Caenorhabditis elegans: one gene and its partners. The protein of the gene in region 3 interacts with the protein of the main gene of each other region in a pairwise test. Each region holds a gene or a part of one and is shown on either strand. Other genes may lie near its edges. The genes, in order: F09F7.5, ZK792.4 and ccm-3.

Evidence for each region.
Region 1: the proteins of ccm-3 (region 3) and F09F7.5 interact in a two-hybrid assay, tested with the Caenorhabditis elegans proteins (one large-scale study listed by BioGRID).
Region 2: the proteins of ccm-3 (region 3) and ZK792.4 interact in a two-hybrid assay, tested with the Caenorhabditis elegans proteins (one large-scale study listed by BioGRID).

What each region holds. Positions count from the first base shown.
Region 1 is NC_003281.10:5,545,193-5,548,948, reverse strand, and holds the start of F09F7.5 (CRIB domain-containing protein), read right to left. Parts: upstream 1,840-3,756; 5' UTR 1,818-1,839; coding exon 1,732-1,817; intron 777-1,731; coding exon 690-776; intron 636-689; coding exon 572-635; intron 524-571; coding exon 354-523; intron 202-353; coding exon 118-201; intron 71-117; coding exon 1-70. Other genes in the region: putative kinase-like protein D1044.1, read right to left, coding at 2,723-2,969, 3,111-3,223, 3,297-3,491.
Region 2 is NC_003282.8:11,679,954-11,683,709, forward strand, and holds the start of ZK792.4 (ANK_REP_REGION domain-containing protein), read right to left. Parts: upstream 2,053-3,756; 5' UTR 2,038-2,052; coding exon 1,997-2,037; intron 1,952-1,996; coding exon 1,835-1,951; intron 1,668-1,834; exon of another isoform or gene 1,518-1,667; intron 1,088-1,517; coding exon 998-1,087; intron 982-997; exon of another isoform or gene 848-981; coding exon 762-847; intron 267-761; coding exon 1-266.
Region 3 is NC_003280.10:10,605,287-10,609,042, reverse strand, and holds ccm-3 (Programmed cell death protein 10 homolog), read left to right. Parts: upstream 1-1,767; 5' UTR 1,768-1,777; coding exon 1,778-1,851; intron 1,852-1,907; coding exon 1,908-1,950; intron 1,951-2,032; coding exon 2,033-2,232; intron 2,233-2,287; coding exon 2,288-2,537; intron 2,538-2,837; coding exon 2,838-2,918; 3' UTR 2,919-3,326; downstream 3,327-3,756. Other genes in the region: taf-13 (Transcription initiation factor TFIID subunit 13), read left to right, coding at 3,441-3,572, 3,711-3,756. UniProt on the Caenorhabditis elegans protein: Involved in excretory canal elongation during postembryonic development. Plays a role in promoting Golgi stability, ER integrity and vesicle transport probably by regulating the activation of Rho GTPase cdc-42. Involved in fertility.

The DNA of each region.
Region 1 (3,756 bases), on a different chromosome or scaffold from region 3:
TCGGTCGGCGGTTTGGATTTTTGGAGGTGGAGCTATGTGTGTTGAGATATTCGAAGTGTGGGAGATTGACCTGAAAATTGAAAAATTTTTAAACTTCAGGGTCCAATCAAGAAATACCGAAAAACTACAGGTTGCTCTGAGATTTCTGATGTTTCCTCCTCGTCGTCTTGGGCGTTGAAGATCAAATTCGGCTTGCTGTTCCTGAAAGTTTAATTCTCAACCAACTTTTGATTCAGTTGTCAAATTTGAAAGCGCCAGTAAGAAACTTAATTCTAAAGGAAGTACTTCTTGGAATTGAGGTAAAAAACTAATTCAAAAACTGTGTTGTTAGAAAATGTCATACAAATACTCACTGTGGAGGAGGAGTAGGGGGAGCTGGAGCCTTATAATTTTTCTTGCTCGGACGTGGTGGAGCAATATTTATGTATTGGTGGGATGTTGGTTGATTCTCGTAACCTCTGACAACTTCAACCTCTTCTTCACTTTTTGAAGCTGATGGGAAAGCATCATCTAGTCCAACTCTCTGAAAAGTTGAACTTTTTTGGAGAAAAGTAATTAAATAGTTCCCTACATCTTTTTCTTTTCTCTGCGATCGGAGTGTACTATTCGACGAGGAGGGTCTTATGTAGTAGCTGCTGAATTCTTTATTCATCCACATTGAATTCAAGTAATGCTTGTAGATCACAAACCTTTCATTAACCGTATCAATCACATTATCGCTCGTCCGAAGATTTTCAATTTCCGATGATCCCATTGGACCGACATGAGCCAAATGCCTGTAATATAAAAATTGACTATGATAGATTGTTTAAAACCTAAAACACAATGAGTAAAACTAATACGAATGTAACTAATTCGTCTCCGAATCTACTAATTGTAAGAAACTAATTCGTATGAAAATTGTAAGTTTTAGACGTATGGAGGCACGGGAGAGTACAGAGAAGCTGAGTGTCTTAACTCTCCTCCTCTCATATCTTTTTAAACAATTAAAATGGCGAATTGCGAAAAAATTGAGAATTTAAAAAATTTCAGGTAACGTGATTTGTATTATTTTATTTTATTTTTTACGACAATAGCCCATAGTGTAAGATTTAACGCTTGGTACCTATAATATATAACAATGTTTTATCAATTGTTGCTAGTCCACGTGTGATTAGGTACTACATAACAATTTTAAACTTAATATTCATAGTTGACATGTATGCTAGTTTTGCATTATTGTTTCTATCACTGATTATTTTCATGACTGAATTGTTGGCGGTTCCAGCTGTGTCAGCTAAATTACCTAGCAAAATGGTAAGTTTTGTTTCCAAGGTTTCTGATTTCTAAAACTTGGAATTTCAGTCTATGGATGTCAATATGATAATAAAAGAATGTTGTAATGAGATAAGTGTAGAGTGTTGTAAGCCTAATATTTTTGAATAAACTGTTCATGTTTCTAAATGTTCCTCATTTCTAAATGTTATATCAATTAAAAAAAGCACAATCAGCACAATCAATCAGCTATTGGCTAAATCTTGATGAAAGTTATTACACTGTAAAAATGGGTTGGTTAGAGAGTGTGGGGGAGGGGAGAGTGCAAGAACTCCGCTTCTTTCTCGGGCCTAAAACGTCGACATGTCATAATCCCGCTTGAAGCTAACCTACTAATGTTCTTCAAGAACGAATTTGCAGATACATTCCAATTCGAATGTACGGATTAACATAACATCCTCAACTTTTATTCCTTACCTGAAATCCGACGGCAGTGAGATCATAGTTTTATCCAAGTGTTTGTGCTGATTCTTCGGAGGCAGCAACGGCAAGTCGTTGGGCATTTTCCATAAACCCGGTTCCTGTCTTAAATCAAGAATAAAGTAACAAGAGGCAAAAAAAATCAATGGTCAAACCACGCAAGTTGTTGCAAAAACTGTGGAGAACAGACACCCGGAGTAACTGAGAGAGAAAGGGGAATAGAGAAATAACCGATAAAAACGTGTAAGCAGTTGGAAAAAGAGTAGTGATAAGGAATTATTGAGAAGGAGGTGATGTGTTGAAAGAATGATTCATTTGGAATTGGAAGCCAAGAAGTTTGAAGCTCCAATGACACCCGTGCTCAAGCTCCGCCCAAAGACGCTTGTAAGGAATCTTGAGTTTTGTAGCATGGCGGAATATTGAAGCGTCGTTCGATGGCTCCAAAATTTTGACCACTTTCAGGTACTGCATAAAATCAATTGAAAAATGTTAAAATTCAGATTAACATAGAAAAATCTAGCATAGAAACTACCTTTCAAATATTTCAAAAAGTGTTATCAATTTCTAGCAAATAGCAAATTGTTCTTGCTGATCTCCCATAGATTACTCAGATCAAATTGACAAGAGACGCAGCATGTTGAAGTGAAAAAAGAAAACATGTGTCGATCTGATGAGTAATCTCTTGAGGCTAAAAACCGGGTTACGGAAGGGTATTATGTATATGTATACTCTAGTGTTTGACTGCAAGTCGGACGATATTTCGCAATTTGTTTAACATTGATTTACGAAACCTTTGATGTTTTTAATGTATTACCGAAGATTTACTAGGATTATTTTTGTTTCGTAAAGAATTTAAAATGTGTTGTCATATTTGAAATAATGTTTTAAGCAACTTTGTTCATCATCAAAATTTAAAAAATTCCAAATATTAGTAGTAGTTTATTTGTTTTAATGTATAATATAAAAATCTTTAAAAAATATTCTTCTATTACATATCATCCAAAATTCCGATAGTCCGTCTCAAAATCTCCTGAGCTTTGTGTTCCCTTTCGTCAGCTCCACTTTTCAAATCCAAACTCTCATCCTTATACATTTTGTAGTAATACGACAGACTGAATAGTGACGTGGCATTCACAAAATTGAAGTGAGTTCGATAGGATTCTTCGAGTTGGGAGAAAGTGAAGGGAGCCGTGGAAAAATGAGATTTGAAGGTCGTATAGTAGTGGTTCAGGTATCTGGAAAATGGAAACTGACTCTTTGTTTTGAAATGTGTTTTATATCTCCGAACCCGATTTTCAAATCTCGGCCAAAAAGCGGGCCATTTCAATTTTTACTTCTTTCGGTTATTGAAAATGTTTAGACTTAGAAAAAGATACCTTTGAGTATTTGCTCTTCGATTTTCCACTGACAATCCAAGGCACAAAATACGAATAATATCAAAGGAGACGGGACCCTTTGACACGTGCTGGAAATCGATAAATGCCTGGATCTGAAATTATTCAATTTTATTATTAGGAGTAATTTTATATTCTATGACACGTAGTCCTCTTGGACAACTCTACCTTTCCAGTTTCATTATTCCATAGAACATTTGACGCGTTCAAATCATTATGACATATCACCAATGGCATTCCAAGTTTTTCGTTTTTCTTTTCGGAATTTCTAACTCCATCTTCATCAAAAGCATGCTTAACTTCTTGAATTCTTCCGGAGAGCTCCGCCGGGCATAACTTTTCAAAATCAAGGGTGTCGTTGTGCTGGAATTTTGATTCTGAAGCGTGAGAAAGAGCCGCTCTGGTTTTCAGGTAAGCAAAACACCATACACCATATTTACGGGTTGTTGTGAAAAGTCAATTTCCAATAAGTTCCAAAAATATTCGGCCACCAATTTTCGCGGCCATCAAAGAGATGTGCCCAATTTTAAATTCGAAATTTGAAAAGATGTGCCCAGATTGCAATCGATTGCAATATACTCTTTTTTTTTTATTTCTTACTATACCTAGGGCTTCACTGGCAGACAGG
Region 2 (3,756 bases), on a different chromosome or scaffold from region 3:
TACCATTTGATTATCAAACTTGATTGCGGCACGAAGAAACTCAATATTTCCTTGTGCAGCTGCCACATGAACTGGTAGCATTTTGCAGTTATTATCGAGAAGTGCAAGTGCTTTTCCAAATTTTCTGAGCAACCAGATGCTCATGTCAGTGTCACCACGAGCAGTTGCGGCCATAAGAATGGATGTTCCGTTGACGTCACGGGTCATTGCACAATTCATTGTCGATTTTAGGGAGCCGCCAAGAAGAATTTCAAGTGCTCGCATATCTAGGAAAATTGTATTTCAAAATCAGTAATTTTATCTTTTTAGAAACAATTTTTAAGGTTTCATTGTGGATAACTATTAAATCAAATACGCCAGGGCTATTGAGATTTTAAATTTGTTTTATGGTAATTTCGGAATTTTTAGAACAGATTACTCAAAGGCTCGCGGATTTCACTCTTTTGTTCCCCATTGTTCTTTATTCAAAGCCAAATTTAAAAATTAAAAATTAAATATTTTCATCACAAACTTTTTGGCGAGAATTGTATGAATAAAACCTTTTGGTTTTTTTTTTCACTTGAAAATCTTCAAATTTGAGCTACATTCACATGGAAAGCTGCTGAAAATTTCTTCAATCTAAAGTTTTCTGTAATTTACACCCATAAATTGAGAAAAGCGCAAAAACTGGCTCGTCCAAAAAAAAGTTTTTTGAGGTCTTCATTATAAGATTAGAAGGCTCCCTTCCCAACATTTCCAACTCAGAATCCCCTTCTCAATACCTCCATGAGCAGCCGAGATGTGTGCTGCAGTTTCACCATTCGTCGACTGGATGTCCCTAAGCTCGGGAAGTCTGTCCAGTAAGTACCTGCAAAAAATCTCAATCTCTCGTCAATGACCTGATTTCTCTTTTTGTTTGCTCTTCCATCTCCCCTTCCAACGCATATCAATTCCGAGCTGATCTGCCGGAAGGGAAAAGCACTCAATTGCCCTCCTTCATCTGCATCTTTACACTCACTTCAAAATGTTCAAATTTCCAACCCGGGCTGCCATGTGAAGAGCATTTTGACCGATAGTGTCCTTGGCAAGCAGGTCATTGTTCGAAAATCTGGAATTTAAACATTTGAAAGTCTGTCGTTCAAACATACCGTATATTCTCTATTAGTGCTGTATCTCCAGTAGTACTGCAGTCTCTAATAGTGCTGCATTCAAAAAGGGTCCGAAAAATAGTGCTGCAGTCTCTATTAGTGCTGCACCCCATTTTCTATTGAAAGAGTTACTTGACAGTTTCGATATTTTTGGTTTTTTTTGTATATTTTTGATGATTTTTTGATAATAAGTAATTGAATTATTGGGTTTTTTTGTTACAAAAGTTCGCAATTTTTATGAATTTCTGCTTAAAAATGAGTTTTTGGGACTAAAAACTAGTGATCTATAATTGAAAATAGCCGTTCGAAAATTAATGCTGCAGTCTCCAGTAGTACTGCAGTCTCTAATAGTGCTGCATTAAAAAAGGGCCTGAAATTAGTGATGCATGCAGCACTAATAGAGAATATACGGTAACTTGGGTGCCGCTAAACCTAGGCTTGCCAAAATTTTGCCCAACATTTGCCTTAATACTTTTTAGGCCAAACTTGGGCAAGAAACTAGCGAGAAATGAAATAAATTTTGGCATCTTTAGAAGCTTCAATGACTGAGATCGTGGTGAGACCCACTCAGAAAATCGAGTCTTCAAACTGTCATAAAAGTTCAAAATTTTGTTTGAAATTTTTTTTTATAGTTCTGAAATCATATTTCTATAATGAACAAAAAGTTAAACGTGGAGCATGAGAGCAAAAGTAACTAAATTACATACCTCGCCAAACATTGCACATGCTTATTTGTAATTGACATAATTACATCTTCACACACATGATTCTCATCTAAAGAATTTTCCTCACCAATTACTTCTAATGGCAAATAGTCACCGTTACTGAAATACACATTTTTGTTAAACATATTTCATAAGTGTTCTTACTCTTCCAATGATCCATTGGGACCACTACGTTCTGATGACATTGAAACTTTGGAATTCTGAAATTAAAATGTGATTGATCATTAATGATTAAATAACCTGTCAATTGAAATGCGAGGAAACGTGAAAAGAGCGCGAAACGAATATTTGTTCGATCTTTTGTACTTGATGAGATTGGATTTCAATATTTCAAAGTCTATCTAGTCTTAAAAAATAAGATCAAAGAGCCAAACGGCAAGGCAGTGCCAAGTAAACTGTTTTTTTAATTCACACTCTCCGGGAAAATAAAATACAATAGAAAAAATAGAAATTTTTAAATTAAAAAAAAACATAAATCAGTGTTTTTTTAATATTTCTATTTACAATCTTACTTTACAATTTACTCCACAACTCAATTTACAAAAATTTACAAGTCGAAAATGGCTGTCACACATTGATATATCATAATTTTACATAAAAAACCTTTTATATTTTATTAATTTTTAAATTGTATGTAACAAACAGTAACAGTAGGGCTTCGAACATGCAAGCTTGCTAGAAATTTCTCAAAAAAAAATCTTTGAAAATTTAACAATTTGCAAAAACTTTGGCTGACAAGTTTGGAAAATTCTAAAGCATCTTCGATTGTTTCAATTAAATAAACTTTTAAACCACTGTTCTGTATTTTTAGCAAACTGCCAACTGACGCTACTTCACCATTAAACTTAAGATTTTCGCAGGTTGGATTATTTAAGACGACTCAAAATTGTGATTCTTTGTAATCAATAATCAGGCGGTAAGCAGAAAGTTGAAAAAGCGACAAATATTTCAGACTAAACAAGTAACTAGTCCTGTATTACTTGTAAAAGTACTACTTTCGACAAAAGTTTTGTATCAAGGACTCACTCTTGAATGTGCACAAACGAGCACAAAAAGTGAACGAATTGGAACGTGCACAGACAAAAAAATGAAAAAGTGGAATAGAAGAGTACTAAACCGAATTACTGTTTGAGAGGGAATGTGTCTCTGTTGACATGCGCGACACAAGAAAAGACTTACAAATATTGAGCAACTTCAAATAAACACAGTTTTGAGCACAAATCAGACGAAAATATATTTTTTTGAGGAAAATCAAGAACTTATTTATGGTAAATTTGAAATATACTTGACTTTAAAAATTGAACATTGATGTGAAATATCTATCTAAAAGACTTGTCAGAAAAAAATTTCTTTGAATATTGTTTGCACAGTTCTGAATTTTTTCCAAGTGTATTCTATCTGGAATGTACTCTAAGAATATATATATATATAAACTTTTCAGTCGACATATTTTTTCATACAACAAAAGAAACTCGAGATATCAGCGTTCAAACCTTAGAAGTGGTAGTTAACGATGCACCATGTATTGAAAATTTACCTTACATTAATAGCACATTTTATTTAGAAATGAGCAAAAAGTATTTCACAACCAAACTGTAGAAAAAAGAAATAATAAATATTTTTCAGTTGAAAACACACCTTTTAACACCTTCAAATAAATCTAAAATCTAAAAATAAGGATAATAATGCGTTCCTCAAGCCATATGCACTCCAGAACTGGAAGTAAGGGTGGTGCTCCTACTGGCCTTTAACTTAAGCTACGTCCGAGCCGAGGAACTGTGACCAAGGGTGAAAAAGATCAAGCTAAACTTTAACTATATTTCAGACTCGAATTGAAGAGTTTCACACATAATGGTCTATGGAAAAATATAAATTTTCGAGCAATCAGTTAAAATATCTCTATT
Region 3 (3,756 bases):
ATTTTTTGGAAACAGGCTAAACAATTATTCGAAAATTTGAAAAAATTGAATCATCAAACAACAAGTTTTATTTTGTTTTGAAAATGTTTGATCTATGATCGGCTATGCCTTTGACCATATATTAATACCAAATACAAAAAAAAAAGATGAAACTCGGTCAGAGAACAGAATTATCACAGGAAATGAGATTTCCTGATTGGGAGTCTATACCTTGAATGTACATGTTCGCAATTTTATTACCTATTTTTTGGAATGGGAACTGGTTTTTTCTCGAAACCTTTGACCAAAGGAAACATCTAGAAAAATGAAATCAGCACATTTTTTGAGAGCAATTTAGAAAAGAAAAGACAATAAAATGAAACAAATTTCAATGTTTTTTTCTCGACTCTATTGTTAATATACTCTGAAGCGTAACAAAGGTGTGAATAGTGGATCTCCTATTGATCGGCAGGAATGACACGGAAGATGAGACGGACAGCCGGGAGAAAAAAGATATTACGGAAGATTTTGAGACGCAGATTGATGGGAATTGGACTTGTGACTTCTTGTTTTCCGGAGATTCTTTACTATATCATAATTTTATTGACAGATATCCTTCACTGGTGGGCTGAAAATATAATAGAGTCCCCAGAAATACGGCACCGGGTCTCGTCGCGAAACACCATCATTAAATAGAAAAGTGAGTGTGCCTTTAGAGATTACTGTAATTTCTTTTTATTGATTTACGAAAAAATAATTTTCCACTAATTTTTCGATGAAGAACTTTTTATTTTTCGAAAAGTTTACAAAAAAAACTTTAATACATCCACTGAAACAAAAATTTGAAGTTACAGTACTCTTTAAAGGCACACACCTTTTTGTGTGCGAAAATTTGACGAGACCTGCTACCGTATTCTTTGGGAAAAATCATGAAATTTATCTGGCCAGATCTGGACAATTATAATTAAAAAAATATATTTTCAGGAAAATCTGATTGAATATTGGAAATCGTTGTTTATTCTCAGAGATTATTATTTGCAAAATCTGCATTTATATGTCTAAATAACACTAGCTAGTGCACTAGGCTAAAAATTGAAAGATTCATTATTTCAAAATTTGCAAAATTTTACCTCCACCGAGGTCTGAGTTGAGTAAAAACATTTTGTTCACATTTTCGCGATTGAATTGATTATTTAAAAAATTAAGCACTAATAAAATATATTTTTAACGTCGAATATTAAAATTTTTCCAAGAACTTTGTTCTCCAGAATTGTTCATCTCGAAATCTGCAGCATCTCTGGTGCCAGCAAGTGCGCTCCAATGCGAACATTTCATTTAAATTTTTTTTTTTTCGTTCTTTTTTTAACAGATTTTATCAATTTTTTGCGATTTTCATTATTTTTTCAAGTAAAAAACATATTTAATGTTATTTCTTATATTTCACAATATTAATTCAACTATTAAAAAACAATTGCATCGATTTCTGGGTGGGTTATCATGCGAAACCGATAAAAACCGTTATTATTATTATTATAATGACTCATAAGTTTCTCCAAGGAATTCGAATTCTGCTTTCACATTCCTTTCCGACCGTTCACTTTCTTCCTATATTTACTCTCCTCGTTTTCCTCTGTATTTCTCCAACTTTTCGCCTTATTATCTGCGTCTCTCTCCGCTTTTGATTTCTGTATGTATTTGCGATGCAAATCGATCGTATGCGGGTTTTTCCTTTTTTAACACAGCTTTCTCCTCTTAAAATTCACTCAAAAATCATGATTTTCATTTCAGCAGTTTCACAATGAACGAAGAGGGTGGATATCTTGGAGCGATGACATATCAATGCCTGTACAGTCCTGTGATGGAAAAAATTAAGTGGGTTTCAAGAAATATCAGTTTTTAAACATAATAATTTAAAAAATATATTTTAGACAGCAACATCGTGATGATCCAAGAGCTTCTCTCGCCCTAAACGTAAGCTATTCTATATAAGAATATTTTCTATGAATTTTATACTGTTAAACGAAAAAAAATAAATTAACAAAGAATTATTCAGAAACTGCACACTGCACTGACCACTTGTGAACAAGCTTCTCCGTCGTTTCTCTATGATTTCACAAAAGTTTTGCTGGATGACTCGGAATTGAGCGTTAATCTGCAGGAATCCTATCTGAGAATGCATGACACCTCGCCGACAAATGATTTGATTGTCAGTGGATATGAGCAGAATGCTGATTATAAAGAGCTCACGAAACGGTAATCAAATTAGATAATTTTTTTCAAAATTCCTGGCGTACGAAAAAAATTACAGAGCAATCGAGCTTCGTCGTGTTCTGTCCCGGGTTCCCGAAGAAATGTCGGATCGTCACGCCTTCCTGGAGACCATCAAGCTCATCGCATCATCAATCAAGAAACTTCTTGAGGCAATAAACGCCGTCTACAGAATTGTTCCACTCACTGCGCAGCCGGCCGTTGAGAAACGTAAACGGGAATTTGTGCACTACTCGAAAAGATTCAGTAACACTTTGAAGACGTATTTTAAAGATCAGAATGCAAATCAGGTTCGTGGGAAAAAATGTGCTTTTTTACTTAAATGCGTCGAAATTTGTCCTTGACTCCGAATATCTATGTGAAAAATTCAAAAGCCCCGGTTTTTCTGGGAAAAAATTCGCACTGAAATATAAAATCAGGGAGATTTTTTTTTAATTTTTTCACATCGATATTCGGCAAATTTGGACTTTTTTTTAAAATAAAAACCTGTAAATTTTCCCCAAATCTTGGGAAAATCAAACTAAATTCTTGAATAATATTAAAATCCATTTTTTTAAAACAAATTCTGAGCCTAAATTCAATGTTTGCAGGTATCCGTGTCCGCCAACCAACTGGTTTTCCAAACGACAATGATAGTCCGCACAATCAACGAAAAACTTCGCCGAGGATAAGCTCACCCATATGGCGGCTTATAACTGTGATCTACTAGACGGCTCTTTCCTTTTGCATGTGTTTTACTTTCATTTTTTGTTCACTTAATTTCTTGTTCTCATCCACACACTCATCACTTTATACATCGGATCTGCACACTTTCTTCTTTCTATGATTTTTCCTTTCCCAATTTTCTGTTTATTGACTGAAATTTTAGGAAAATGATTAACGTATTATGCTTTATATGGTTTTTCGGATTTTTTTCACTTCAAAAATATTGTAATAAGTAGCTCAATTATCATTCTTCCTTTCTTTTTCATGTGCCTTTCTTTGATTTTTCCTCGTTTTTTCACCCACTGATGTACTAGATTTTTTTCCATAAGTCGGTTTCTTCTCCAAATAACGTGATAAATTATTCAGAAATTTTTAATATTTTAATTGACTGTATTGCAATTCTTGTTGTCGAAAACTTATTATATATCTAATTAACTTCACTTTAAAAAATTTCAGACCAATTTTAAATTAATTTCAGAATTTAAAAAATGGATGACGAAGAGGATCTGTTCGGCTCGGATGCCGAAGATGACAAGGAGAAGGTGGTAAATCCGGAGGATAAGAAGCACGTGCTGAGACGAGATTTGAGATCAATGGTCTATGGCTTTGGAGATGATAAGGTTGGTAACAGGGCTGTGCAACTTTTTGAATCAAAATTTATTTGCATTTCTATAACAAATTAAAAAGAAATTAAATGAGCGGTTTTTCTAAGATTCCGATTGATAATTTCCTGAATTGTTTATAAATAAATGTTTCAGGAGCCATACGACAAGACCCTGGACACTCTTGAGGCCATTGTCCTAA